Linked DNA regions of Mus musculus: all the other regions are reported to be linked to region 3. The links are microRNA targets in miRTarBase. Many come from high-throughput screens and were not tested one by one. Region 3 holds a microRNA gene; each other region holds the end of a gene's coding sequence.

What was found. Region 3 holds the annotated microRNA mmu-miR-24-3p (UGGCUCAGUUCAGCAGGAACAG, at 1,774-1,795, shown strand). A microRNA usually pairs through its seed, bases 2 to 8, with sites in the 3' UTR of a target mRNA and lowers its output. Matches are read on the target gene's strand: a 7mer-m8 pairs with bases 2 to 8, a 7mer-A1 pairs with bases 2 to 7 and ends in A, and an 8mer does both.
Region 1: the mRNA of Txnl1 is a reported target of mmu-miR-24-3p. Seed matches in the 3' UTR shown: 7mer-m8 at 1,762-1,768.
Region 2: miRTarBase lists Xpr1 as a target of mmu-miR-24-3p. The part of its 3' UTR that is shown has no 7-base or 8-base seed match.
Region 4: miRTarBase lists Zfp704 as a target of mmu-miR-24-3p. Seed matches in the 3' UTR shown: 7mer-m8 at 1,752-1,758 and 7mer-A1 at 111-117.
Region 5: the mRNA of Klhdc9 is a reported target of mmu-miR-24-3p. Seed matches in the 3' UTR shown: 7mer-A1 at 1,063-1,069, 7mer-A1 at 1,135-1,141 and 8mer at 1,143-1,150.
Region 6: the mRNA of Celf4 is a reported target of mmu-miR-24-3p. The part of its 3' UTR that is shown has no 7-base or 8-base seed match.
Region 7: the mRNA of Smad4 is a reported target of mmu-miR-24-3p. The part of its 3' UTR that is shown has no 7-base or 8-base seed match.

Annotation. Positions count from the first base shown.
Region 1 is chr18:63,660,726-63,664,945 of GRCm38, reverse strand. It overlaps Txnl1 (thioredoxin-like 1), which reads left to right. Exons shown (of 8, transcript NM_016792.4): 8 at 614-2,145. The coding sequence ends at 643. Among named protein-coding and RNA genes, the nearest start is that of Txnl1, 30 kb to the left of the region's middle.
Region 2 is chr1:155,277,693-155,281,912 of GRCm38, reverse strand. It overlaps Xpr1 (xenotropic and polytropic retrovirus receptor 1), which reads left to right. Exons shown (of 15, transcript NM_011273.2): 15 at 843-4,220. The coding sequence ends at 903. Among named protein-coding and RNA genes, the nearest start is that of BC034090, 35 kb to the right of the region's middle.
Region 3 is chr13:63,299,478-63,303,697 of GRCm38, forward strand. It overlaps Mir24-1 (microRNA 24-1), which reads left to right and starts at 1,731; the gene lies at 1,731-1,798. Aopep (aminopeptidase O) reads left to right here. Exons shown (of 16, transcript NM_001289926.1): 16 at 1-3,400. Mir23b (microRNA 23b) reads left to right here and starts at 1,007; the gene lies at 1,007-1,080. It overlaps Mir27b (microRNA 27b), which reads left to right and starts at 1,235; the gene lies at 1,235-1,307. It also overlaps Mir3074-1 and a transcript of Fancc not described here.
Region 4 is chr3:9,434,873-9,439,092 of GRCm38, forward strand. It overlaps Zfp704 (zinc finger protein 704), which reads right to left. Exons shown (of 9, transcript NM_133218.2): 9 at 1-4,026. The coding sequence ends at 3,915. It overlaps C030034L19Rik (RIKEN cDNA C030034L19 gene), which reads left to right. Exons shown (of 4, transcript NR_160691.1): 4 at 1-2,361. Among named protein-coding and RNA genes, the nearest start is that of C030034L19Rik, 34 kb to the left of the region's middle.
Region 5 is chr1:171,355,445-171,359,664 of GRCm38, reverse strand. Klhdc9 (kelch domain containing 9) reads left to right here. Exons shown (of 4, transcript NM_001033039.2): 3 at 12-210; 4 at 685-1,216. The coding sequence ends at 851. Pfdn2 (prefoldin 2) reads right to left here. Exons shown (of 4, transcript NM_011070.4): 2 at 3,047-3,135; 3 at 2,837-2,960; 4 at 411-1,815. The coding sequence ends at 1,639. Among named protein-coding and RNA genes, the nearest start is that of Klhdc9, 3.2 kb to the left of the region's middle.
Region 6 is chr18:25,483,297-25,487,516 of GRCm38, reverse strand. It overlaps Celf4 (CUGBP, Elav-like family member 4), which reads left to right. Exons shown (of 13, transcript NM_001146293.2): 12 at 552-723. The coding sequence ends at 679. Among named protein-coding and RNA genes, the nearest start is that of Gm32825, 20 kb to the left of the region's middle.
Region 7 is chr18:73,636,760-73,640,979 of GRCm38, reverse strand. It overlaps Smad4 (SMAD family member 4), which reads left to right. Exons shown (of 12, transcript NM_008540.3): 12 at 511-4,220. The coding sequence ends at 722. Among named protein-coding and RNA genes, the nearest start is that of Smad4, 65 kb to the left of the region's middle.

The DNA of each region.
Region 1 (4,220 bases), not on the chromosome of region 3:
TTGTGCTATGGCATTCATAGGAACTAAGGTATTTTTTATAGACCTTCAGGACTAGATTTTTTTTTTTTTAAATTACTCAGATGCAAGCTCTAGTTTTTACATTTCTTATAGACCATGTCTAGCAACCAGGTTTTTGTTTTTTTAAAGTTAGAAAAGAGCTCAACATTCTTGATCTGCTTTCCTGTTGAAGGCGAGGTCTAGAAGACATGAGTTTAGCATATCGTTCTAAATACATTGACATTTAAAAACATTAGATTGACATTAGATTTCTAATTGCCTAAAACTAGTACACTAGGAATGGTTTACTCATGTAGCATCATCTTTTTTTTTTTATTAACGTCTCTAAACTGTCGACCTGGCTTGAAAAAGTTAAATTTCTTCTTAAGACAGAATGGGAAAACAAAAGTAGCTTGCATGTGTTTAATTCCTTGTGTCTAGGGGAGGGGGTGTTGCAGTTTGCTGCCACAATAAAAGCACATTGCATGCAGAAAAGATTCAAGGTTAAAAAGTAATACCAGGTAAAAAGGACTAAAGTCTTGAAATTGTTATGCTAGTATTTTTTTAAGCACATTTCTGAATCATTAAATTATACTTTTTTTATAATTTTTTCTAGGTGGTTGGCAAAAAAGGGGAAAGCCATTAGGGTACAAAGACACTGGAAGACTTACTGCAGTCAGACTTGCAGCTCCTGGATAATTGCTTGATTCTCTTCGGAAACTGTTAATCTTTTATTTGTTGCCAGTACCAATAAATCATTGCTTTTGTTCAGATGGCATCACTAGTGTTTGTAGTGTAATCGTGATACATGCAGTTGTAAATAAAAGTCACTACTTTTGCCAAGCTTAAGTCTTCGTCATTCTATATAAATGCATTCTCTCTCTTTTTATTTGAAAATTTGCTAACCTCTTGTTTTAGGAGTTGTGTCTAGTATCACATTGACTAAAAGTTACTCTATCTCTAGAGGAACAGAACGCCACAGGGATTAGGAGTACTGTCTATACACATGGAGAGTTTAGACAGGATTTGAAACCTCCATGTATGTGTAATGTTTGGATGCATGGATTTGGAATGGTTAACCAAGTTCAAGTACATTCTGACTTATTTTATCAAAAAGCATTTGGGTATCTAGGCTTTACAAATTTGTTAAAAAACCCAATTTATAAACACCCAGTACTCTTACCTATCACTGGTAGTTAACAGATTTACAAATATTTTGGTTTTAGGTTAGCTTCACTGTTGATATCCTTGGGTACCTGCCTTCCAAATGGTGGGATTGTAGGCCTGTACCACTAAACCTGGTCTCATGCCAAGATTTTAACTTTCTGCATAAACCTAAACATTAGAGTCAACTATTTCCTTTAATAATGCAGGTATTAAAACTGAATTCAGAAAAATTTGGAAATTATAATACATGGAGATTATTTAATTTAAAAATTAAAAAATATGGAAAATTAGAATCAAATCTATTATCTAAATTCACCAAAACATTCACTCTATATAGATAGAGAACATGATTTAAGCTTAAAATGAGTTGTCCCAGCTGTTTGTTTGAAAGATCTTCCACAAAAGACTGGATAAGCAAATACTTGTTGTTCTAAGCTTTTAAAACATTTAATATTGGCAAATTTAATGTTTAAATACTTTATTTTGTTTTATGTTTATGTGTGTTTGGCTTCCATGTATGTGTATATTCGTGTGAGTGAGTGTGGTGCCCAGCAGAGGGGTGACAGCTGGTGGGAACTGCCATGTGGGTGATGGGAACTGAGCCCAGGCCTCTATAAGACTGCTGCTCCATCCCCACACATTAATCTTGTAATTCATTATTTTAAAAGCATATATAAGACTAATAACTTGTAATTCATTTAATACATTTGAGGGCATTCTTACCTATATAGTGCAGAGGTTTGCCTTTGGATACTAATGTACTTATACGTAATTATGAGAAAAAAAAAACCAAACTCTGGATGTTGTTGAAGTAGTGTTGAAATAGTCCTTTTCTGAAACTTGTGTCATTAAGTAATGTTTAGTTCATGTGTATGTGAGCTCAGTAACTGGTCTGTGATAATGTCTGTATTTTATGTATTTCACAGTTTGTTGACTTAAAGTGAAAGAAAGACAAAAAAAGTAAACGTTTATAATACCTGTAAACCATCCTGAAGTTGTTAATCACACCTGAAATGGAGAAGAAGATGAACATGAAAAGTTGTAGTTTATACTTAGCCTCTTTGGTAATCATTAAAGTGCCTCGTCTTGGCTGTAAATGGTCTCATCCTATTTGACTTGAAAAACGGAGTAAAAGTGGTTTCACATTTGCAAAGGACCAGACATCAAACTTTTTGTTGTTCATATGATTTCTGTAACTTTGTTGCAACATACAAACATCCCACATCATTCAAGTTATAAGTGGTGAATGCTAGTGGGAAGCTGACATGTGTCACAAGTTTTATTACAAAAAACCCAAATATGCATAGTTGAGATGTAAACCATCAAGCTAAAATGCTATTTTCTGTTAAAATAGTATATCAATATATATTTATAAATATAAATAAGTATATTTACATGTAACAATTTTCCTGAAAAGAACATGAAGAATATGTAGCCTTGGCTGTCTAATCATTAGCCATCCATTAATGCTTACTAGAAAACTAATATTTATTTTGTCAGCCATAAAAAAAACCAAGAATCTGTATGCATCTCGTATCTCACATCAGGTTGCCTAATTGAGACATACAGTGAAATGCTGTCAGCAGAAACACAGTATTGCTATAGGAAGTCTTTTCAGAGAAAGCCTAACAATAAGACTAGCACTTGTTACTTCACTCAGGTGTTCCTCTTGGTCCTTTATAAATGTATTTTGGCTATCTGCTGCCAAGTACCAAACTGCCCCATCTCAGTACATGAATGTATTGGATGGAGGTAGTCACCTAGCCTTCTGCCAACCATATTTTTCTAAACGATTAGATATGTGTAAGACGTTTTTTGCAGTGTTCATAGTTTGTGCTATTAGTGTACATTTAATACCAGCATTGCTTATGGTTGTCGTTAGTAATAAATTGAGAGTCTTGGGACCATGATGTCAGCAACGAGATACAGTCCTGTATGTGACAGAGAGTCGCACCCCTGTCAGATTTTAACAATATAGTCACCTGAACAAGACTAGCACAGTGACACCATCAGCTGACATGCCAAAATGGATTGAGGATATCTTACAAGGCCAAATCTCTAAAATAAATTTCCCAGTATTACCCAGGGAAAAAGTCTCTTGATAGGTTATCCAGTCCCTAGTGGTCAGCCCTAAATACATACAAGCAATACTAAATGGACTTGACAGGTTATATACATGCATATGTGTATATATTTTCTATTGCTGTGACAATCCCTGGCCAAGGTGTGTTATAGAAGAGTTCATTGGTACTTACTGTTTCAGAGGGTGAGTCTATGACTGTTATGTTGGGGAGCGTGGCAGAGGCAAGCAGGCATGGTCCTGGGGTGGTAGCTGAATGCTTGCTTGCAATCTGATCCAGAACTATGAGGCAAAGAGAGCCAGCTGGGCATGGTGTGGGCCTTTGCAATCGCAGCAGGAAAGAGAGGGGTTATGTTACTTTAATTACATTTTAAAATAAAAGACTGCTGATACGTACCTTATTTGAATCAATACCAATACCCTTGGTTTCTTTTTTATTACTCCAAAGACAAGTTTTGTCTATAGTTTCTTAAGTGTTGTTTATATATGAAAATCTTATTTGTCTACTCACCTCATTTGATTATCATGTTTGAGAAATATTGATCCGGGGGAAATTGGGATTTCCTCCTAAAATTTTTAGTCTCATTAATAAAATACATTTTAATATATGTTTATTTGTTTGTTTATTTATTTGAGGCAGAGTCTCACTGTGAAGGGCTGTCCTGGAACTTACTATGTAGATCAGGCTGGCCTTACAGGAGATTTTCCTGCCTCTCTGCTTCCCTAGTGCTGGGATTAAAGGCCTGAGCCACTACACCTGGCATAAGATGTATTTTGTAAAGGGAGCAAGGGGTAGTTTGTTATGGAAATTTTATTTTATTTTATTGGTAATTATTGCCCTGTAACACAGATTTAAATTACCTCAACTTTTGTGTTTCATTGTGGGAGCTTTTTGTGTTTCATGAAATTTTATAGTTTTGCAGAACACAGAAAGTCATAAGTTATGGCAAGTTTAAAGTACATTGGTGGTTTCATT
Region 2 (4,220 bases), not on the chromosome of region 3:
GTAGAGAAGGAAAAAGCAGAAAAGAGGAGAGTGAGTCTTAGGGCAGAGGAAAGTAGCAGAAGTCACAGTGGGAAATGAGCGGGAAGAGCACTGACTCAGCTGCACTCTGTCCAGGGAGGCACGGCAACCTGGGGTGCAGGAGCGCTGTGGGTAAGAGGGTGCTGAGGAGGTGGCTAGCCTCAAGGCCTGGAGAAAAGGCTGACAGACCAGAGCTCCTCACCGTGAAGGTCTCATAGCTACCAGCAGAGGGCAGTCTAAACATGGTTTCTGATCAAGAGGGAGGCTCTTGGTGCTAGTCTGTTCATTTCAGGGGTTTACAGGGAAACGCTGGGAAACTAGATGGCAGCCAGAGGAAGGCAGTTAGAAGAACAGGCTTAAGGTACAAAGAGTGCAGGGAATCTAAGGTGAGACCTGAGTCTCAGCTCTGACGTCATAGATTCATACAGCCTTAGCACAGCCTTAGCCTCCTGAATGTCAGCCTCCCCATCTGTCAAGTGGGAGTAACAGATCTCCTGTCAGAAACACTGCCTTCACTGTTGAGGCTAACGAGTGTCGGGTTACCCAGTCCCATTTTTATTCGGTACAAGAATCTCTGCACAGCCTCCTAAATCAGCAGCGCTAACAGTTTGACCGAGGCTCCTGGCTATCACTGTACCAGTGCTCAAACTCAGATCCTTGTTTCCGGGTACTGCTCCGTCTTTAATTCAGCCTACTGCTGTTCCTACCTCTCCACTTGCAGTACATAGCTCCTGGGTAGTGTGCGTGCTTGCTAGTGGGAAGAGTGGACCCAGCAGCACTGCATGGGACTGATCATACATGTTCATTTCCTCTGATCACGCTAGATCCAAGGCTCGCGACACTAAGGTATTGATAGAAGACACAGATGACGAAGCTAACACTTGAATTCGCTGAAGTCTAGAGTAACATCCTTGGTTTTCTACTCTACAATCCTTTCCTCGACCAACGCAACCTCCAGCACCTTTTTCCAGCTGAGAACAGGAGAAAACAGAACACGTTCCCGGGCTCTTCAGATCGGGTCCTATGGACTCCGAGCAAGCTCACTGTGTTTCTTTTCTTTTCTTCTGGTTTAATCTTCATTTTCTATTTTTAAAACAAATACTTCATTTTGCCAATCAGAAGATGTTTTAAGGAACAAACACCTACTATCTTACGGATTGTTTACAATCACAAGGATACAGAAGCCCATCAGGATGAAGAGAAGCTTTGGAAGGAACGTCTGATGCACAGCCCAGAGAGCTCAGCTTCGCCGGCCGGTTTTGACTGTCTGAAACCGGACACCGGTTTTTAAATTTTCTGTCAGTTTCTATGGAGAGTTTTTCCCTTCCTTCATAGCCAGTGCAGAGACACTGGCAGCACTTGCAGGGAAAGTGCAGCTTGGAGCAGCACCTCCTCCACAAAGCTACTTTTAATTCGATGTGACTTTTCTCATCTGGGGAGGGCTTCGGGTGGGTGGGGAATATGCTGTATTCGTTACATACAGTTTCTCATTATTTATGAAACTTAACCATAAATGAATGCTACTCCTGTGAAGGGAGGCAGGAGGAACTAAGGCTCACTGGCACTGCGGAGGGTCAACCCCACACACCTCTTTCAGGAAACAACTAGTTGATTTTTTTCCCCTCATTTGTTTTAACTTTAAACCAAAGTTTTATTGCTAAATTTTAAGTTGCTGCTCTAGAGTCCCAAGCATCACTGTCATGACCAGGCAGGCATCCCCCTTGCATCCCAGTGGTGGAAATCCAGAGAAAAGGCTCTGACTGTTGTTTCTCTAGGAACAGGTGCAGGATACAGTCACCCAAATACCAGTCACAAAAATGACGGTTTGCCACGTGCTTCTGCATGTAGAATTGTAATCTTTACCAGTGGAAAGACAGGCCTGTTTCAGGCCCCTCACACTTTATTAGACATTTCCCCTTCTGGTCTCACCTTCTTCAGCCAGAATTTGATCAAATTAAAAGTCTTTTGTGGGGACTGTATTTCTGAGCATCTAGAACAAATCCTTTATATTCATCGACACAAAAGATCTTGGTGGCTATTTTTAAACCCAGCTGTATTAAAAGGTGATGTTGAATTTTACGACACCCCTACCATGGCCTGCTTTTAAATTCGGGGCTTCTAAACCTGGTTGTACTTTTTAAATTATATTTCTTAGAAAATTCAGGATATAAATACCTACTTTATTCTCTATCTCACCCCCTTTCTTCATAAATTCTCTAGAGAAGCCTAAAAACATACAGCGCTTGACTGTCTTGAAAATGGTTGGTTTCATATCTGGTACTCATCAGCTTGTCACTGGGAATCTAGATCGTTGGTAGTAGTGACTGCCCAGCATTCTTGAGACCCTTGATTTTCTCTCCAGCATGGGTCAGGGTAGAGAAACAGCCATTATTCAGTAAAATTAATATAAATACCAGGAAAAGGTAAATAAATGGCCCCACCCTTCAGATCTAGATAAAAGTCCCACGTAGGAGGGCCATGAACGTGTGCCCTTGTCAGATGAACTTTAGACTAAGAAACCGGTGACTAGGGAAACAGCAGTAACACTTACATTGTTTTAAAACTTGGCTACTGCCCCTTAGCTCGTGCTTGTCATTAGCTCCTCCTGCATATCAAACCCTTACTCACTAAAGTTACAGCACTGCTAAAATCCTACTGATTAACTCACCAGCTTCCGTTTACAAAGTTTCTTCCATTTTTATTCTGACAAAGTTCCATTTTTTTCCTCCTTTCTCGATTGAGATTTTTAACAACACCTTGCCCCCATCCCCCACCCCAAAAAAGCTCACTCAATGTTGTAGGTTCTGTTGCTTTTTGTGTTTTGCCAAGCATGTCCCTTGCCCCAAAACTAAAGAGCAAATGTTTATTTAAAGTAAAAACAAAACTATAAATAAATTGTATACTTTATAATAATCAGTGGTAACAATTTAGAGACCCTGGCAGATTAAAGGTTGCATTATTTTTATTTAGATTTTTTTCCCTTACTATTTTGTACTTTAAAGCTGGGGATAGATTTCACTGGTTTCTGAGGTAACAGCAGTAACGATTAGGAATATATAGAAAAGTTCAGTGACCAGTCATTTCTTGTACAAATAAAATCAGTGGTACTGTGTATCCAGAGCCCTGTGAATTGTCAGCTTCTTTCTCTGGTAGTGAGCTGAGTGGCGGCACACACTCCTCACAGTTGACTCCTGATGTTCCAGCTCTCTGATGTCTTTATGTCAGGTAACACAGAGCCAGTTTGGTCTTTCTCCCCCTGCCAGGATCCCAGGCCCTAATCAGTATTATTTCTTTCATAAACAGTAAGTGATGGAGTATATTCCTTTTCTGATATCTGTCCTGTTGACCACTCAGACGTAAGTTTACAAGCTGTGCGGCTTACATGGCAGACGCTCCAACGTGTATTCAGATGCTCTGGCTGCATCCCTTCCCAGCTCTAAAGAGATTTCTCCATCAAAAGACTTTAGGAAACGACATATGCATTAATTATTTTCCTTTGAAAAAGGCAATGTGCATTTTTCTTTCCTCAGTTTCATCTGCCCCAGGCACTGTGAGCAGTGTCCTGCTAATGTGCTCTTGGATAATCCTGTACCCTGAAACTCTCGATGGAACACACCAATGTCATGTCACATAAACCAGAGGTAACACTTATCTGATTGCAGCCTTAGAACTCTTAATTTTAGTTTTATTTGAAAAGGACCCCATTTTTAATAGCGCTTGAAATACCCCCAAAAGAAATGAAAAAGAGACTAAAGTCCACTTTTCACTTTATACTCATGCAGAAAGCAGTGTAGTTGGAAGAGATAGCCGTTTGTTGTTGGCAAATTAGCCTATACCGCAGCTGCCTCGACAGTGGGGTGTTGACATGCCCTCCCACACCGAGGCAGTGGCGGGATCAGCGATGAAGTCAGCCCCATAGTTGGGTGTAATGGCCACGTGCAGGCTTTCTGTCTCCAGCCCCCTGTATTACACTCCTTAAACAGACTGTTTAGATTCAGGGGACACAGTGAGTGCCAGTGGCTCAGCAAGAACCCAGGTGACCTCTTAGAGGAGGCCCTCCCTCCTGGGAGCCATGACTCCCCATGTGCTAGATGAGCTCTCATGGGCGGTGTCTTTCCACCATGCTTCCCTGTTGTCTGAGCAGGTGAACCTAAGGCAAGGCAAGAGCAGAGCTGAGGGAGGCACACTGACAGGGAGTCAGA
Region 3 (4,220 bases):
CAGGACATTATCGCTTGCCATGGTGGTACATATGATGTTTACTTTTGTATATGTTTGAAATTTTACATCAATCACTGTGTTACTCTGTTGTTCTCTATGATTACCAATTAATGAATATTTAGAATTGTGTTGCTAATCTTAACCCATTGTCAGACATTAAATTTACATTTTCACATTTCACTTTTATAAAACCCACTTCTGTGTAATGTTTATTTTTCTGAAGAACTACACTGATGAAGGGAAAACATGTTACTATGTATGACCATGTTGTTGCAGAAGAGCTGGGGACCGCCACAGTCAAGCAGGGGAGATAGTGGGCTGGAGTAAGCAGGTACAGCCTGCTAAGCCTGCACACTACAAGCTAGGACGGTGGCCTGTGTGGATAGACAGAGTCGGTCGGGGCGCCTCTTCACTGCCTCCTGCAGACATTTCTCTAGAAACTTGTAAGCTGAGGGATTGTTGGTATGTGGTGTGTGAAGGTCACACAGTAAAGCCACTGTTCCCTTTTTAGGTCCCTAGGCCTTCACTTAGGAAAGCCATAGTCACATAGTGGTCCTAGTGACTCTTCTAAGAGTATTTTTGCCCCCTGAGTGAGCAAATCCTCAACTTGCTAGGTCCCCTATGAGCTCTGTGCTATGCCTCAGCTTATCCAACCAAATGCTTGGTCACAGGCAAGCCAGAGAGATGCTCCCTCCCTACACACCACACCTGCTGTCTGAGGGGCCCAGAGACATCCCAACCCATTCAGTCTGCAATTGGAGAACAGGGTGTGTCCCAGGGTTAAAGGCCACATACTCAGAGCAAGGATGGTCCCTAAGGTATTGGTCTCATAGCTGATAAGTGTGTCCTTTGTCTCCCAGTCCCCTATGCTCCTCTATACAGTGCAGCCAGCGCGCTGAAGGACAGCAGGCTGCACTGCTAGCGTGGTGGGCTCAGAGGCGGTTTGGAGGACACTCAGCACATGTGGATGGGAGTGGTTGGGCATGGTGCTGCCCTCACCTGCTCTGGCTGCTTGGGTTCCTGGCATGCTGATTTGTGACTTGAGATTAAAATCACATTGCCAGGGATTACCACGCAACCATGACCTTGGCTGCTCCTGCAGAACCGTGGCTACTTTCTCTCTGCAGTTTGGAGAACAGAGGCGCCTTGTGGCTCTTTGGAAACAAAAGAAGCCAACAGCCTTCGAAGATGCTCACCAGCCCTTTAATTATGGCCGGCGATGACCTCTCTAACAAGGTGCAGAGCTTAGCTGATTGGTGAACAGTGATTGGTTTCCGCTTTGTTCACAGTGGCTAAGTTCTGCACCTGAAGAGAAGGTGAGATGGGGACAGTTAACTTGCAGCTGCCAGGCAGAGGCCACTGCCTGGTGGTCACTCCAGAGGAGGAGAGACCAGCCTGCCTCAAGGCTGTGTTGTCAAGAGTGCAAACAGCGTGCTGACCACCCTTAAGTGTGTCTACAGAAAATACAGTTCTACTGCTAATTAGTTCACTGTAATGTCAAGTGTATTGGGAGTCACAGAAAACTAAACCCAGGTGCATCAAGGAAACTGAGCCAACCTTGTCTCAGCTGATGCCACACGTGATGGGTGGGGGTGTGGTTCTTTGTCCCTGCTGGGCGTGGTGAACTCTTTCTTGTATTTGCAGTCCAGGTCTCCATGTCTCCACAGTCGCTGGCAAGATGATGCCCAGGGCACGCCAGGAGGCACTGCCCAGCTGTGATTGGACCCGCCCTCCGGTGCCTACTGAGCTGATATCAGTTCTCATTTCACACACTGGCTCAGTTCAGCAGGAACAGGAGTCGAGCCCTTGAGCAAAAAGCCTACCCATCTGTAAGTGCCTGAGGCAGGCCTCCCACGGAGAAGAAGATGAAGGGCCTGAGTGTCTGGTACCAGACCCAACAGCAGTGGTATCCCTCTGTATGTGCTCCCGAGGTGGGGATTTGTAGAGTGCAGAGCTAACCTTGGAAAGTTTGCATTCCCTAGAAGCAGGTAGGGCAGGCGCTGAGCATTTGCCACGTGTTGGGGCAGAGCACACCATGTCACCGCTGCCTTGAGCAGTGAGAATGCCTGTCTGAAGGGCCTTGTCTGTAGAGCCTTTCTGAACCTCTCTGGGCTTCACAGCCCTGCATGGCCTGTGCCGTGACTGTGCACCCCAGACCCAGGATTGTGAGGTGTGGCTTCAGTGTTGCCCCTGTCCTCCCATGAAAAGTTCCCTCTCAAGTGGAGGTCAGAGGCTGGGAGGACTCCTGTTGGAATGGCTGTGGTGACTGGGTAATAAATTTTATTGCTGTTTCCTCCACAGGACAGATCACAGTGAGATTCTCATATACCTTCTCCTAGCCCTGGTGGGGCCAGGACTGCACTGACCCTGGACATCAAAGGGAGGATTATGTGGCTGCTAAGGCCATCAGCCCACAGCAGTGGTTGGTCCATCTTGGGCTTCCAGAGACTGGGCTCCCGTGGCATATATAAAAGGCGGAGCCTCATAAACTGTTGCACCTGGCAGCTGCCTTTGTTCCCAGTCCTAGAGAGACTGAGTCTACACACTGGAATTGAGCTGTGACTTTAAGGCAGTCATTCAATGAAGGACACCCTCCCCTAGGCAGATGGAGAGCCGGTTGCCTGCTTCCTGTGATTGCAAAAACTAGCTGCCATGCTCTGAGACTGCAGAATCATGTGACACCTCCTGTGGCTGGTCCCCAAGGATTCTGCAAAGCCCTTTTGATGTGTTCAGTCAACAGAGCATTCCTGTTTTTGAAAATGCAGGAAAGCCTAAAATGTCTTAATAAAGTACCAGATTTGCTAGTGTTCCAGTTTGCTTCTGAATTTGATGCTCCTTAAAAGCAAAGAAGAACGTGTGTCAGAACAGGCACTTTCCACACACTTCCTACCTCCAGGTAATGTTAATTCTAAAAAGGTTGGAAGTAAAGGGAAATTAGTGTGGCTTGGGACTCTGCTCTCTTCCAAATGTGGAGTTTCAGCCAGCCTGGTACTAGCGGAGTCTCAGAACAAGCTCTAAGCTCTTTCAGTCACTGTCTAGAGAACGGTGCTTGAGACTGAGCCATCAGTGCAGTCACATGAGCCCAGCCAAGGCAGAGCGGTGGACAGAGGAACCAGAAGGAGCATCCCACTGGCTGGCCAGGCTTCTGCACCCAGACCTGCTGGGTGACAAAGGCTCTAGGACAGACTGAGAGGAGCGTCCGCACAGAACCATTGGTTTTCAGAGCCTGGGCTGTAGCAGTGACTGCATTTGGATGGTTGCAGGGGACTTGCAAATGGTTATCTGCTTTGTATACCACAATGGTACAAGTATCAAAGTGTGTTAATTCTACTTAATGTTACCCTGATTTCTGTGAAGACTTGAAATAAATGGCTGAGTCTATGCCTTCCTGCTCTCAGAAGCACTCTGGCCTTGCTTAGAGGTGGACTAAGAACCACACACCCTGTAAGGCCCCTCTGAGAACCTCAGTGGCCCATACCTCCTCTGAACTGGAGAGAGCAGCCAAGCACTGGTTTAGTCTGGTTTTGTTCTTTGTTCTTAGGAACCACTAAAGCAAAACAAAGCTGTCGCCTAAGGTGGGTTTTGTTCAGGGATCAAGTCCCTTGTCCCCATGGGTCACTGAGCCCTGTGCCTGGCTGTGTCTGGCTTGGGTTCTTGCCAATGGGTTTCAGGTAAGTGGAGATCTCACTGGAACCAGATGCCCATTTCACAGCTTTGGTGAAGGATCTGTGGTAGAGCTGTCCTTTGCCACCTCTGGCTGGGTGCAGAGCAAGCCTATCCTCCCCTCTCCTCTAGTCCCCCACCCCAACAAGTTAGGCAGCAGCTCCTGCCACCCATAGCTGCACCAGAGGCCCATGAGGCTGTGGAAGCAGGCTTCCCTCATCTGGCTGAGACCTCTGGAGTCAAGAAAGTGCAGTCTCCATTCTTCCGTGAGCCACCTGACTTCACAGGACACAGAACATTGCAAACGTTAACTTGTCAAATAGGATGCGAAGCAGGGTCTGAGGGCGGAAGAATGGATGTCTAGGGAGGCTTGACCTCCTCCTCTGAGCTGTCTCACCCAGGGAGGAGTTTGCTCTATAGCATATGGTTCAGGTGATGAGTGAACTGTTGGCGGAGGAAGGATGTGGATCATCACCCAGGCTCCTGCTCCAAACCACAAGTGGGCAGAGCAAGAAGCTGGATCCCTGGGTCAGTGTTTGCTGTAGACCACTCTGTAG
Region 4 (4,220 bases), not on the chromosome of region 3:
CAGCATCCAGACTGAGGAACTACAACAAGGAACAGCAAGGCTTTTTGTTCCCAATTACATTCAGAGGAAGCCTCACCATGTCTATGGATGCCCAGCAGGCTCTTCACCTGTGGCTCAAACCTCAATCAGCTTTAGGGCAGCTACGAACAGACAGTCCCTCTGCCACACCTCATGGAAGTCGTCTGCCTGTCCAGCTGAACACGGATTTGTTTTGAAATGACACGGAGAGTTACATAAAGAAAAACTTGTTCTGACAAGAAAAGACTTGAGGAGATAAAAATCCTCCTGGTCTCGGGGTTCTCCAGATCTCTTCCCACAGCATCCTTGTCTCCCTGAGGAAATGAGTAGTATTTACAGTATTCTGCTGCTATGCTCAACAGATTCTTGTATGTACAGTTCTCACCTCTTTTCTCAGAACCTTCTCCGGTGAATGCCACCTTTGTCTTGCAGGGCAGCTGAAGTGAGAGATGAAACAGACTCTTTTATAGGGGCTCACTACTCACTTTAAGCCCAGGGCTTCTGGCAAAGTGTGACGTACTTGTTCTTGGATACCAGAGATGGCAGACTCCAAATCTTGTCATCTTCAATTGCAATGGGGAACAATTTGGCTTCAAATAATTTTTCCAACATACATGAAGTCTGAAGGAATTTTTGGAGAGCTCAACAGTAATGCTTTTCTCTAGAGATGATCGTCCTTTATAGCTTGGTCATGGGAGGTTCATAAGGGAGCCTCCTGGACATGGTACTATCAACGTGCACGAGAGGTCCACTCTGGTTTGGAAACCCACTGTCTTCTTCCTGGCGCTAGCTTTTGCTAATCCAGAGAACCTAACTTCCCAGACATAAGGTGGCAGGTGAGCCTGATGGATAGTTCCTGGCCGAAGCAGCTCCTGTCTTGTGTCAGACATCTACAGCAGACATGGAGGAGTCCTAGCTGAGCAGCCCAAGAACATGAGCAGAAGATAGGGGTGTGCAGGTCTCCCGCACTGCCCCCTTGACACATATGCTACCTGGGGGTTTCTCCACGTTATCTCACAGATTTTCACAAAATAAGTGTCCATATTCCAGGAAGGCTAAGGCTGGAAACTATTGCCTGTTGCACACATTGCTTCCTAGCTGGCTGGAGAATGTCCTGCTAGTCACTGTGACATGCTTTTTCCGGGAGAAATGAGAAACCTTTTTCATCATGGAAGAAGAAGAACTAGACATTTCCATGGACAAGAATTCATTACATCACTGCTCCTTTGACAGACAGGGCTGGAAGCCCTGGGGTGCACAGAGCCTCAGGCTAGCAGCCAGCTCACCAACTCTCATGCTTTCTGTTTCTCCACAAAATGAAGACACAAAAAGAACTTAGTTTCATGGACATGGCATGAAATGAAAAGTCAGGCTTCATTTGGCACTTTGTTTGGGTCCCCAAATAACAAAATAACTACTTAAGAAATGTAACTCACACAAAAAGTAACTCATATAATCAGTTAACTGTATGTTGCAATTCAGAGCTTCCGGTCCCTGGCATTACACCCTTCCACACAGGGAATGGGCATGTGTCCAGAGCTGCACTCAGGATTTGCCTGCACCTTGGAAGCCAGATAAGGAAATGTTCAGTGCCTAAGGCTGGCCTGGAGATGAGGGCCCTAGGTGGGCTGGGGATGCACACGAGCTGGCACGATGGAGGTTTCTGAGAAAACGAGGGACTCAGGTCAGGTGCATTTGGTGTCACGATTGTGCTGACAATATGCAGCTAAGCGGGCTCAGACCTGCCCTTAGGCTGTGTTTCTGGGGGCGACAGCTCAGCACCTAAGGACTGCTCTCTCTCACACAGACGACAGCATTCCTTCACCTCCAAGTTCTTCAAGAGAAGGTGGATTGAATTTCACATCACTTTAATGTTTTGATTAAAGTCTTCATCTGAGATTTTAAAAATTAAGGGAGCTTTGCTGAGGAGAAAACCCTCTAGCCTAGGATCCATCTGTTATTTAAGCACATGGTGAACTTGACCAAACAGTTGATGTCTCAATCTCCACGTTGCTCAGGGCCTCTTGGAGCAGCTAGAACACCATTTCAGGGAGTGAGGCTACAGGAGATAAGGAGAGGACATGCCCAGGGGAAAGAAATCTAGCTCTGGACTTTAAAAGCAAAAAGTTGTTTCCTGGTTGCAGGTAAAAGCATCTGGAACAGGTGGTATAGCTGATGTTGGTTATCAACCTACAGGGAAATCAGAGAAAGCTTTCTCTTTTCTCTTGAAGTAAGTGTTTTGTTTTCCTTTTAAGTATCCAAAGGAAAAGATCAGCATCTCTTTCCCGTTTTCCTTGATTTCCGTGGTAAAAAAGCCACATGAATTTAAAAAATAAAATTGCCAAAATACATGAACGCACCAGTTAAGGGTGTTCCGCTGTAGAGCCTCCATATACACCCCTTATATACAAAGAGGTGTCTCAGACGCCTACATGCCTTCTCTACTCTGTAAAAAAGCACTATGTACAATCTTTAAACATATATTAAGTTTTCCTCTGTGCAAGTTCATTTAACATTCATATTGCTGACACCATGTTCCCCATCCCTACCTAGTGGCTCCTATAAGGTGCTCTTACCATGCATAGGTACAGGACACTCCTCTCTTAAGCAGGGCAGACAGAATAAGTCCTTACAAGGCTTGATAGCTGCTCCAAGCTCCACCCTTCCAACAGCCAAGTACATCAGGTTCCAATGGCTGGAACCCAGCCTAAGCCTTGGCCCTACTCAATGGAGAGAGTCCTATACCAAGATGCATCTGCCTTTGGGCATCCTGTAAGTTAGTTTCTGAGCAAATTCTTAATTCATAGTTTCAATATTCCTATAAGACAACAAAGTTTAGCGTTCCATTATCCATATACGTCACCGAGTCCACTAACTCATCCCCTAGCCATCCCCTCGCCATCTAGAAAAGTGCACTCACAATGGAAGTTGGCTTGATGCCCTAGTGGATCTTTCCCACAGCTATGCTCTGCTGGAAGCAAACCTGCAGGCCAGTCTGGAGTTTTCTACCTGGGCGGGGTTGGAGAGCAGAATGCTAACCCAGAGTCCTGGCTATGGTCTTGGCAGAACCAAGCAGGACACACTATCCAGGCTGCAGTGTGTGTGATATCCCTGAAAGCAGCATCAAGGTTTACCAGATTGCTACTAGCGCCAGCTCTCGTCTGAGCCATGGCAGGCAGAGACTTAGTGGTGCCACCACTCACATGGGATCCAAGGACGATTTTCAGATGCTTTCTGCAGTGCCTCTTGGTGTCCTGACCTCAGGTGATGGCTGAGGTGACTCGCACTCACTGTCAATCACTTTTGGCCTTATGTAAGTTACTCAGGGCCTCCAAGCTAACATCTTTACAATGGTTCCACTTGGGGTCCTTCTTGAAAACAAAACAGACATAGAAAAACTCTTTTTTGAAATACATCATGATCAGACTGATCCAAGGAGTCGCACGGAAAAACAGAGAGATGCCTATTCACAAGGTAGGTACTATCCTTTATACAAATGCTACCTCAGACTGTGTAGCTTATGGGTATATTGTGTAGCTTATGGGCATATTGTTTTCAGTGTCAAAAACCCTCGAAAATGCCAGAGTTCAGAAAGCTTATCAAAATGTGCCTTCTCTCTAGGTGAAATGGGCCTGGTTGGCTAAGCTGCTACAGAAGACCAGCTTTAAGACCAGACTGAGAGCTAAGGAAGCGGGCTTTTCCTTCGAAGGAAGGTCCTCCTTGGCGCTCTCGCCTGGTTCTCAGAGCAGTGCAGTGCTGATTTTTTGCTGTGTTTTTGTTTTTGTTTTTGTTTTTGTTTTGCTTTAATTCCACCAAGGAATTATATTCCTGGGATTCCAGGCAGGGCCTTCCCTGGGCCTTGAGTAGCTTCCTTTGGAAGGAGAGGCAGGAATGGCTCAGTCAATGAACCGCTGGCAGGCCTTCTTCCAGCGGCAGGCGGTGCACCACATGTCCCTGTTTTCCATCCCATAAACCTTGCGGCACTTTTTGCCTTCTCCTCTGGGCTTCCTGTAAGAAAGACGGCACACAGACAGCCTTAGGGACAGGAACGGGGCGGCCTTCTGGGGAGAGTTGCAAAGAATAAGGGGGAACAGAAGACAAAAAGCCCAGCATGGAGTAGGACTTCCCGTAGGGCTGGGGACTTCTCTGGCCACTGTGATTACACTGTTTCTAAATCCCATTCATGGAAATGTTTCCTTGGC
Region 5 (4,220 bases), not on the chromosome of region 3:
TCTCGCCCAAGGAGGAACAACCAGTTGCCCCTCATTTGAGGGAACAGCTTGCAAGGCTTGTGAGCAGTGGGCAGGGACTGCAGCAAGGACCCCAGAGCCTGCGCCATCATTCCTGTTCAGTGGTGGGACCCTTCGCTGTACTATTTGGCGGAGAAACTCTGACCAGAGCTAGAGATACGATCTGCAATGATCTCTACATCTACGATACCCGTGAGCGCCAAGCTATCATTTGAAAGGGAGGAGAAAAAGACACAGCTAAAAATTACAAAACAGGGGTGGTGGGATAGAAAGGAGGAGAAATCAGTTGATGAGTTAAAGGAATGCAGTCCGGTTGTGGTGATGTATGCTACTCAGGAGGCAAAAGTGTGTGGACTGCTGAAAAACAAACAAACAAAAAATAGAGCCAGGCATAGTGATTCACACTTTTAATTCCAGCACTTGGGAGGCAGAGGCAGAGGCAGGCAGATCTCTGGTAGTTTTTGAGGCCAGCCAACTTGATCTAGAGTGTGAAACTAGCCAGGGTGACAGAGTGAGACCCTGTTTCAAAAACAAAATACAATAGACAATATAAATACTGAACATCTGAAAAGGCTGACAAATCAAACGGGAACGATGACAGGCATGCGTACTGGGTAAGGCCGGAGCAGAATGCCACAGTAACCACCTTCTGCTCTCAACCCACAGGCAAGTCTCCGCCTCTGTGGTTCCACTTCCCCAGTACAGACCGTGGACTGAAGCGCGTGGGCCATCGGACTTGCCTTTGGAATGACCAGCTTTATTTGGTTGGGGGTTTTGGTGAGGACGGCAGGACAGCTAGCCCACAGGTTTGCATCCTGGAATTCTTCATCTAAAGAACAGCAGGGAGGCACTCTGTGTTGTGGCAAACCTACAAAGCGATCTCATCAGAGCTATTGCCCTACTTCAAATACTTATTAAATTTCAATCCGAGAGTTTTGTCTCTGAATCCTTTAGAAGATTTATACATTTTACTTATATAAGTGCCCTATTTGCATGTACACCTTTGTGCCAGAAGAGGGCATCAGACCCCATTATAGATGGTTGTGAGCCACCATGTGGTTGTTGGGGATAATAAAACAGATGCCCCCTGGAAGAGCAGACAGAGCTCTTCACTGTTGAGCCATCTGAGCCATCTCTCCAGCCCTCTGAATCCGTTTTAGAAGAGCATCAAATAAACAGATTACTTTATTTGCAAAGGAAAGACCGAACTGAGGTTCCTTTCTGATAGTGAGCCATTAACCTGGTAGAAACAATGCAAATCATATTTTTTTGTTTTGTTTGAGACAGGGTCTCACTGTGTCTATATATAGCCTTGGATTACTGGGAACTCGATTTGTAGACCAGGCTGGCCTGGAACTCCGAGATCTGCCTCTTGTTGTCACCCAAGCACTAAGATTATTAAAGGCATGTGTGGCACCACACCCAGCTCTATGAGGTCGGTGTAGCCCTAAATGAGATAAAGGTTCAGGCTATAGCTAAGTATTTGACCAAAACATTTAATCAACAACAACAACAAAAACAAAATATTACAATAGCAGAGAAATAATAATAACGACAATAAAAAGAAATTACAAGTGGGAATCAGGGTAAAAAAAAAAAAACCCGCAGAGGCCTTAGCTCCTAAGAGACCAACACCCCTGCTGAGCTGGCCTTAGCCCCAGCCCCTTCTGAGTTTTCCTTGGCTGCTGGCTTCTCATCTTCCCCCATGAGACGAATGTTGTGCTTTTCCCGGAATTCGTTCAGTTCTTTGCCCTTTGCCTGAAGCTGCTGTGACAGTGTCTCAATGATCTTCTGTATCTAAGAGGCAAAAGAGAGGATGGAGAAGGAGTGCAGGTCTCCCTCCTCTGCCCCGGACTGTGCTACAGTTGGAGGCAGTGAGACAAGAACACAGTGGCTTATAAAGGGGAACCATCTGAGCTACTTATTTTCATTATTCTTTGATAATGTTATAAAAGCATATGATCAAACAGCCCACTCTCATCCACTTGCCACCAACCCATCCCATCTCATAATCGTATTTCTCTGTTTTGTTTTGTGGCCCATGAGTCTAACCTGGAGCACCCTTGTGGGAATGGATGGAGATACCCACAGGAGCACTAGTGGCTCACCAGCAGCTACATCACTTAAGACAATTACTGTCCCCTCTCCAGCAACTTTCCACCCTCAGTCCCTGCCCAGGGAGGGTGGGTTGCTTGCTCTTAAAAGAGCATTTGTCATGCTATGGTTTCTTCTCTTAGGTCACATTCATTTTTTTTTTAAGTGATTGATTTTTAGTTAGCCCAAGCAGGCTTCAAATCCGATTCCTCTGCCTCATCATCTCAGCAAGTTAAACATCAATGTATGCCACCCCAGTCAGGATTCTTTCTCCCTTTAAAAGGTCACTTATGGTTTCTTTAAGGGTCTGGTTCCGTGGATCGAGAGCTCTTAAGAAGCTGCATTTTAAACTGGTCCTTGGCTGGAGGTGTAGCTCAATGAGAAGAGTATTTAGCCTACTGCGCATGAGGCCCTGGGTCTGATGCCCAACACTGCTAAACAAGTTCTTCAGGAGATTCTGACTCAGGGATCCACAGACTATATTGTGAGAAACACTGCTCTACCCATTCCCTCCCCACTCAACCACATCAAAGAGCCCATGGAAAGGGCACACAGCCAACAACTCCTCACTTAAGGAGTTGGACTTCAACTTTGTAATAGTATAAAGGGCACAGTAGATAGCTAACAGGCTGCATGCTACCATCAACATGAATTCCCTAAATCCCTAGTCACCTACATTTAACCTCTTGGCTGCCCAAACGCCTATAGAGGAATTCTTGCTCACCTGCTCCTTGTTGCCCTCCAAGGCAGGCAGCACTTCTTTGACAGTCCGCTCCACCAGCACACCTCCAACCATGCGGTAGCACTTGCGGGTCTCATCCACTTCCTTCAGTGTATCGATCACCAGGCTAGGGTAGGAGAACAAGACCTCAGAATGCGTCCTGATCCCCACAAGCCTCCATCCAATCACTCTGTTTCTCTGCGGCCTTCCTACCTGTGCTCATTCAATTCCATCTCCAGCTCAGCTGCTTTGGAAGCCAAGCCCCTCTGTTCCTGCCGAAGGCGATTAAAGCCAGCAATTACCTAAGAGATGAGAGATGAGACCGTGAAAACACCAGAAAGTAAAGGCAGCCATAGGATGGCAAGTTACAAAGGCACAGTAGTGGATAGCTATCTTGGGAAGGGCATAGACTACATTCTTACTGAGTGCCTATATGTCTGAGATATTTACTAGTCACAGGGGGATTTAACAATAGATTTGAATGTGAGAGATGGGGGGGGGGTGAGGAGCCACTGGAACACCTACAAGAGATTTGCAGGTGAAGAGGGCTTTTTTATGTTTCCCTCCCCAACTTACTAATTTTTACTATATGTTCATGAGTGCTGTTATACCTGGAAGTTTGTATACATGTGTACCATGTTGGGCCTGGTGCCCAGGGGCCAGAAGAGGGCGACAGAGTCCCTGAAACTGGAGTTACAAATGGTGGTGAGCACTGTGTGTGTGTGTGTGTGTGTGTGTGTGTGTGTGTGTGTGTGTGTGTGTGTGTGTGTGCGCGCGCACCGGAAACTGAACCTGGGTCTCATCAAAATGTTTTAACCACTTTTCTTTTAAGTTCTTTTAACTACTGAGCTAGCTTGCCAGTTTGTCACTAATCAGAGACCAAGAGGGTGATGGGGTTATAGGCCTGATATGGGTACTGGAAATCAAACCTGGGTTTTCTTGAAGAGCAGTGTGTACTTTTTTAAAAAAAGATTTAATTATTTTATGTATATGAGTGTACTGTAGCTGTCTTCAGACAGACCAAAAGAAGGCATCAGATCCCATTACAGATGGCTATGAACCACCATGTGGTTGCTGGGAATTGAACTCAGGACTTCTGGAAAAGTAGTCAGTGCTCTTACCTGCAGAGTCATCTCTCTAGATGCACAGTGTGAAATCTTAATCATTGAGTCATCATCTTTACAGTCCTTTTTTTTTTAAAGACTTAAAGACTTTTTTAAAAAAGATTTATTTATTTATTATATGTGAGTACACTTTAACTGTTTTCAGACACACCAGAAGAGGGCATCAGATCTCATTATGGATGGTTGTGAGCCACCATGTGGTTGCTGGGATTCGAACTCAGGACCTTGGGAAGAGCAGTCAGTGCTCCTAACTGCTATGCCAT
Region 6 (4,220 bases), not on the chromosome of region 3:
TAGTGGAAGGTGCTCGACATCCCTAGGAAGTCGTACAGCACTCATCGCGAGGTGTGTGCTTAGTTAGGAAGTTTCCCACAGTGGCGAGGGCTGCGCACAGCCCCAGGGGTGAGGCGGGTTTGGTGGGGGTGACCGGGCGGTGGAGTGGCTTCCCCGACGTTCCTCCCTCCCGGCCCTCGCACTCCTCTCTCTCCCCAGGCCGGCACCCCGTGCCCTCCCGCTGCCAGGCCCCCTCCTGTCAGGGAGGACAGTGTGCAATAAGCTCCTCCGCCCGCAGGTGTGTCCGCCCTCTCCCGCGGGAGGAGAGGGCCGAGGTGGCGGGCCGGCCGGGGTGGGGGGTGGGCGGGCGCCGGCGCCACCGGGAGCCGAGGAGCAGCCGAGCCCGGGCCGGGGCGCCAGGCCGGGAGGGGCCTGCGGGCGGAGGGGCGGGGCTGAGGCCGGGCCGGGCCGGGGGCGGAGCCTCGAGCCCCGCCCCTCCCCTCCCCTCCCGCCTGCAGCGGCCCCGGGCGGCCCCGTGGAAACCCAGGCCCTGGTCCCTCGTGTCTCGCCAGGCTTCGTGAGCTTCGACAACCCGGCCAGCGCACAGACCGCCATCCAGGCCATGAACGGCTTCCAGATAGGCATGAAGAGGCTCAAGGTGCAGCTGAAGCGGCCCAAAGACGCCAATCGCCCGTACTGAGCGCCGGCGGGAGCGTCCCCCGGGGGAGACCAGGACTCGCACAGGTAACCATGGCGGCTGGGCTTAGGGACGGGAGGTTTGGATGGACCCGTCGCCTTCTGAGGCCTTCCTGGGCCCGGCCCTCACCTGTGCCTTGGACCCGATGCGCCCTGATCAACCTACTCCTGGCTCAAGGTCCGCATCACAGGCATAGAACTAAGGCCATCCTAGCAGAACCAGGATTGGCCGTCCCCTCCGCCTCCAGGCCAAAAGGGGTAGAAGTGAGGAACCTCTGAGAAAGAGAGCAGCGCCTGGGGCCTGCGCCTTCAGACTCTCATTGTAGCCCAGTTAGCCAGGGACCCTAGGTGGGCAGATGGCAAGTTCAGGCCTTGCGGGGAGGAAGAGCCTCAGGTTAAGCCTCCTCCCAGTCTCCCTGGCTCTTGCATGCCCAGGTCTATTGGAAGCGAGCTTCCTCCTTGACTCCTTCCCCAGTAGCTGCCTTAGCTTAGCCAGGACAGGAGGGGCAGGTATTTTTCAAAGGAACATTAGCAAGAGGAAACACAGCGGGAGGACACACAGTGTTGGAAGTTTGGGAACCAGACCTGGTCTGCCTAGGCTTGACCTCTATTTAGCCTTGCTTGACAACTTGAGGCAGTTAGTCCCACTTTTGGGGTTAAGTGTTCTCCCAGGCAGAGCAGATGACTCCAAAAGGAACTGAGGGAATGCTCCAGGCCATCAAGTCCACCTCTGCCTGTCCCCTGATGTTACTCACACCAGTCAGCTTAGTCACGGCCAGAGATGAAGGCCACATTGGGCCTCTTCTTGCTCAGGCTGTTCCGCCCAGCCCTCCTTTTATTTAGTGCCTCCGGCACTGTGTTGGATACACAGAGTTGGAGCTAGATTTCCTGGTAAGTAGGTAGGTACAGGGATGGTAGCTGAACTGAAGATTTCGAGGCCAGCCTGAGTTGATATTAGAGATGAGTGGCCTCCCTCTGGGGTAAGGTCAGGGGCAACATGTGTGAGGAGCAAGCAGAGGGCTAAGGGTGTTACAGGGAGGGCTGAGCCGAGGGAGCAACCCAGGGGAGAGGACAGCTACTGCCTGGAGCCTGCAGACCACTGCATGGGCTTTGTCCTCCTCTGAAATGGGAAGGGGTATTAGAGAGCTGGGGTAGTCTGTTATTAGGTTGATGCTAAGCTGTAAGGGCTGCCACAGAGATAGATCTGTTGTATTGACCTTAGTCCGGGGCAGATCAGACAGTGTGAACGTTTAGACACATTTTGAAGGTAGAGCCAAAGATGCTTCCTGACACATTAGAAGGTATGGAAGGGAGAGAGGTTACACCCGGGATTCAGCCATAGTGACAGGAGAGCAGAGAGTCTGTAAGCAAGACTGGGCATGTTAGAGTTAAGGCCTGCAAGTGGAAGTTCATGGCCAGGAGCATGGGAGGAGTCTCCAGGTTCTGGTCTCTCCTATAATGGCACACTTCCCTACAGAGGTATAGATGCCAGAAGACCCTCCTGTACCAGCTGAAGCAGGGGTCTTTTCCCTCTGGGTGAACATTAGCCCAGTCAGTAATCCTGAAAGAGCAAAGCTGACTCTGGCCTCCTTACTCCCCAGCCCTGCCTATTTCTGCCTTATGTGTAGATTGGGGCATGGCGGTTCACAGACTCTGAGTACCATTTTGTGCTAGGCATTAGACTCAGGTCTGGGGATACAGAGATGAGTGGGTTACATCTCAGAGGAATAGACACATAGGCACCAAGATGCAGCCACCAGATGGATGTGCTCCCAGAGAGGAGCGCCTCAGTCAGGAAGCTCCAAGCTGCATGCTAGGCTTCTACTTCCTCACTAAGGAAACCATGATTTAGTAGGCGATCAGATGATCTGAAGGAGCATGTAGGTATTTTGGCTAGCAGCTCCTATCCTACCCTATGGCTCAAGCAAGGGTAATACCTCTAAGTCAGAAATTCCTAGAGGAAGGGTAGAGGAAGGCAAGTGTGCTGTGTGAGGCATGAAATAAGAGGGCTACAGGGTAGATCCAGTTGCCACTCAGCCTTGGGAGGCCACGAAGATGACCATCACAGACTTTCGTATACCAGGCATTGTTCTGACAAGTAATGTTGGTAACAAGTAGCCTATCAGGGGGGAAGTGTCAGAATTGCTACCTCACAGATGAGCACAGTGAGCAATGAAACCAAAATTTGAAGCCAGGAACCTAGTTTCCTTTCAAGTAAGGCAAATGGGAGACTACTGCCCTCCTTCATCACGGCTCTGCTCACCCACAGTACCCAGCTTCTTTGGAGCCAGCTTTCTCTGAACCTCTTCCCTAGGGTGGGCTGTCTTAAGCTGTGATAGGACATAACTCCTATGATCAAGTTTCCGTTTAGTTTCCATTCAGATAGCATTTAATGATACTGCCTCTGCAACCCAAGAGTGTGGAAGCTGTGGTAGGAGGGTTCTAAGAGAAGATGGAGCTACTCAAGGCAGCTGAGGATCTGCCAACACACACACACACACACACACACACACACACACAAGGATGGAATTCAAAAGAATGTGGTATATCATAAGTCAATAGGGGGTGTTGATAAGTGATGACATATGTAAGCTGTAGCTATTCCTTATCAGGAGAGGGAAGCCTGAGTAGAGGCTTGAGAGACCAGGTGAAGCTGGGAGCAGCTGGGTAGTGAGGTGACGACTTATACTAGTAGTAAGGTGGGATGTGCAAGCGGGCTTGATGGTCCAAGGCCAAGTCGGAGCCACTTTGAGACATATCTGGGGAAGAAAGATTCAGGCAGAGTAGCTAGGTAACATGGCTGGGGTTGGTTCCACAGACTGAGGCCCCAGTAGGGTAGGGTTGAGGTTGGGGACAACAAGGCTCTTCTCCATTGATGGTGTCCTGTCTCACTGGCTGTTTGGGCCTTGTGTGTGCCCAGCCTGGGCAAAGCTAGACTATAGCTTGGGGTCTGAGTCATCTATGGCTAGAGTCTAGCTATTTTAGATGGTATATATGAAATGGTCTTGCCTGGTTCGGGTCAGGACCCTATTATCACCTCCAGGGCTCTGTGCTCTGTGAGCTACCCCTCCTAGGGGGTGGATACACAGGAGACAGTACTTTGTATCTGGTGTAGTATAGCAGAAATGAGGGCTGCATGAGAGTTCCCTGATGGAGTTTTGAAAAGAGAGGCTGTATGCATTCTTGTCTGAGTCCACATGCCAAGGATAATGTCTGGCACCAAGGAACAGCTGGCCAGAAGCAGGGGAGACAGGAAGAGCAGAGTGGGGATAGCAAGTTTTGGCTCTAGAGCCAGTGTGTCTTCTCACTGTAGTTGCCAGAGCTGATTTCCAATGGCAATATACTCCTTAGTTCTTAGGCCTCTCCTCATGCCAAAAGGACGCTATAGCCAAGCACTCTAGCGGTGAGGGGACATTGAAGGAGCTTCTCTGAGGGGCTGTAAGTGCCGAGGAGGATGACAATCAGGATACAGTGGTATAGGAAAGTAAGATCTGATGCTGGAATAGCAAGGAACCCATTGTAAGCTGACAGGCAGAGGGGTTGGG
Region 7 (4,220 bases), not on the chromosome of region 3:
GTAAATGTGATCTGTAAGAATTCAGGCTAGTATTGAATTTCTGATTTTTATCCATGCTTTTCCCCCTCCATATTCTCTCAGAACTTAGAGACAGACAAAAGTCAGCTGACCTGTGTGAGGGAGGCTGAGTGCATGGCTCTGCTGATTAGTCAGTCCTGCTGCAGTCCAGCCTGGCCGGTAGAGGCTGGGCTTCTTACAACCGGGGACAGGCCCTGCCTCTTACAGAGAAGTTGGTTTTGCTCCTATACCCTACTTCTGAAGAGAAGAGTAGGGGAATTATTGGTGGCATGTGGAAATTTACTTGCCCTCCCGTAGTTAAAGTCCATATATAAACTGTCATAACCAAATTTTCACTTACCCGTGATAAGGTTTAGATCTGCGGTTACTGTTGACATTTTTGACAGAGAAGTTGTATGCTGAGAGGAAATAAGCAAAGAAGGCAGACTGGGGAGGATGGGAAGAGAGGACCTGCGCCCTCACAGCCTCCACACTTGTGCTTCTTTCCGTTAGGTCTGTCTGCTGCTGCTGGCATCGGTGTGGATGACCTCCGGCGATTGTGCATTCTCAGGATGAGCTTTGTGAAGGGCTGGGGCCCAGACTACCCCAGGCAGAGCATCAAGGAAACCCCGTGCTGGATTGAGATTCACCTTCACCGAGCTCTGCAGCTCTTGGATGAAGTCCTGCACACCATGCCCATTGCGGACCCACAGCCTTTAGACTGAGATCTCACACCACGGACGCCCTAACCATTTCCAGGATGGTGGACTATGAAATATACTCGTGTTTATAATCTGAAGATCTATTGCATTTTGTTCTGCTCTGTCTTTTCCTAAAGGGTTGAGAGATGTGTTTGCTGCCTTGCTCTTAGCAGACAGAAACTGAATTAAAACTTCTTTTCTATTTTAGAACTTTCAGGTGTGGCTCAGTGCTTGAAGATCAGAAAGATGCAGTTCTTGCTGAGTCTTCCCTGCTGGTTCTGTATGGAGGAGTCGGCCAGTGCTGGGCGCTCAGCCCTTTAGTGTGTGCGAGCGCCTTGCATGCCGAGGAGAGTCAGAGCTGCTGATTGTAAGGCTGAGAAGTTCTCACAGTTAAGCCACCTGCCCCTTAGTGGGCGAGTTATTAAACGCACTGTGCTCACGTGGCGCTGGGCCAGCCAGCTCTACCAAGAGCAACTTTACTCTCCTTTAAAAACCTTTTAGCAACCTTTGATTCACAATGGTTTTTGCAAGTTAAACAGTGAAGGTGAATTAAATTCATACTGTCTTGCAGACTTCAGGGTTTCTTCCCCAAGACAAAACACTAATCTGTGTGCATATTGACAATTCCTTACAATTATCAGTCAAAGAAATGCCATTTAAAATTACAATTTTTTTAATCCCTAATGGATGACCACTATCAAGATGTATACTTTGCCCTGTTAAACAGTAAATGAATTCTTCTATATTTCTAGGCACAAGGTTAGTTATTTAAAAAAAAAAAAAAAAGCCTAGGGGAGGGATTTTTCCCTTAATTCCTAGGGAGAAGGTTTTGTATAAAACACTAAAAGCAGTGTCACTCTGCCTGCTGCTTCACTGTTCTGCAAGGTGGCAGTACTTCAACTGAAATAATGAATATTTTGGAAACTGCTAAATTCTATGTTAAATACTGTGCAGAATAATGGAAACAGTGCAGTTGGTAACAGGTGGTTTGGATATTTTTGTACTTGATTTGATGTGTGACTTCTTTTCATATACTGTTAAAATCATGTATGTTTTGACATTGTTTAAAATTCAGTTTTTGTATCTTAGGGCAAGACTGCAGACTTTTTTATACCTTTTGGTTATAAGCCCTGTGTTTGCCATCCTTGATCACTTGGCGGTGACTTTGTAGAGATTGAAGTGGAGGAGTTAAGACACATTGACTGTACCACAGACACACATGTATACTTTCTACCTAGTTACTAGCGTAAATAAAACTGAGTCACTATACGAAGTGGAATTCTAGATTTGGTTTTTAAAATGCTTTCCTTTTGCACTTTTGAGTCCAGTCTCAGTGGCAAGACACCTTCTGCTAAATGACAGGTGGCAGCCAGTTGTACCATGCAGCGCTGGTTCCCTCCCACTCTACCAGGACTTTCCCATGGACACTGTGCATCATGTGTAGTTGGTTATTTTTTGAGTTTTTATTTTACTGTAGCAAAAAAAAAAAAAAAAACTTGGATAAATAGTGTGAATAAAATCAAGACCATGGAGATGTTTTTACCCTGAGAGTTTTCTGTGAGTTTTAAATTGCAGTAGGCATTTGAGCTCTGGAAACCCCGTGCATAGCAGTTCTCTTTGTGCCAACAGAAATGACCACGTCCTGCAGCCTGCTGCGGAAGGTTCCAGAGGCTCTGAGAAACCAGAGTGCTGCAGTGACTGGGGTCCATCTCAGCCCAGCGCACACAGCGTGCGTTGTAAAAGCTGCCTCTGTGTCTTGTCTTCTGTACTTAGGGATGCTTTGTCTCGGGCCTAATCTTATCTGTAGAAGTTTGGTGATTTTTTTTTTTTAAATGTTGTATTGACAGAATTATAAAAAGATACCTTCTCTAGAAATGCTTGTCTTCAGATCCGTTTCACGATGGCCGGGGAACAGGAGTGAGAAGAGAGAGTAAGCTGTAGTGTAACGGGTTTTTAAGACCCAGCTCATCTGACCAGGCAGTGCTGTAACTTGATGCTTCCTGTTGTACCTTATGGAACCTTTCCCATATTTAATCATCTTCAGAAAGTAGGTGGGAAATATTTGCTGGGAAGTATCTCTTCAGAGCCAAGCCACTTGTCTTGGTTTTCTTACTAAGAGCCATAGAAATGATTTCTGGTTATTGATGAAATTTGTAATTTGCCTGTCCTAGTCTTTTTTCCTTTCACTTCGCTATCTTTGAATAAGACTTTTAAAAACTTCCCTGAGTTGAAAAATTTTGGGATAAAATAGTTTCCCTAGTTCTTAGAGACTGATTATGATGTGGGTATGGTTCTGGGTGGGTTTTTTTTCTAAGTCATAGCTCAAAAGTCTCCCAAGATTAAATTTCAGTGGGCACCCAGTTTGAAACCATTCTACTTTTGTCTTGTGCCTTTCTTTGCATGATTAAAGAGAATCTGTAATGGTATTGCCTTTATTTGCTTGGAAGTAGATTCTTTTCTGGGATAGAGTCTACCTTAATCGTTGTCCTTTACCGCCCCTGCTGTACAGATAGATGCTAAGCCACTGCCGGGAACTTGCTTTTCCATAGACAGTCTTTTTATACTGCCTGAACCCATTGCTCCTGTTCACAGTATAAGTTCACAGACAGGGTGAGCCGGCCGAGGCGCACACCTGCAGAATCCAGCAACAACCATGCTTAACTGTGTGTATTTCAAAGTTAGAAATCCAGTTTTGTGGGGAATGGTGTGGTTTATATTAGCAGCTTTGAAGGCGAAGTAACTCAGAGGTTTTACAGTCTGGAGAAGGGAAGCTTCCTGGAATGCTTGTGAAGTATCTGTGGTGGCCAAATGTGTTTGCTCCTGGCCTTGCTTGTAACTGGCTAATTGTCACTCTTCAGATTTTTAAAAATTTTTAATGAGCTGAGACCCCCTTGGAAGGAGCTTGTTTGGAGCTGGCCAGAGATGTTTTTGGTAGTTCCTGTCTTCATCCGGTCTTCATCACTGTTTTCTTTAATGGTCAGTTAGTAAAGTATAAGTTAGGTCACTGTCATGAGTGGAGCAGGAACAACTCTCCCAGGTGGGGGCCTGGAAGGGACTCGTTACATGGAGCCATCTGTAACTAGCCCTTTAAATCCTCCTTTGCATGACATAGAGAAAAGGCTGTGAGACTCCTGCCCAGGCCTTTCTAGTTTTCCCTTCTAGTAACCAAGCAATCGCATCTCTGCGGTGCAGTAGGCTGTATGTAAAAAGCCGTGGCCTTACTCCTAGCAGCACCCTTGGCAGGGCCTTTTTCTCAGCGCAGTGAGGCTGTGCATCTGGCACTCCTGAGGAATGAAAGTTTTCATCATCTTGCCTTATTAAGCAGTAAAACTTTTGAAAAATGAGCCGTTTATTGGCAGGAGCTATTTACACAAATCAGAATATTATACCATTTCTTTTTCTCTCTCTCCTGTCTCTGTGGACCTCCGGGGCTTCTGAGATAGACAGTACTGCCTAGCCATTCGAAATGCCCAAGCCAGCTGGGGTTGTTGGGCTCTCCTCTCCCTTCCTCCTTCCTCACAG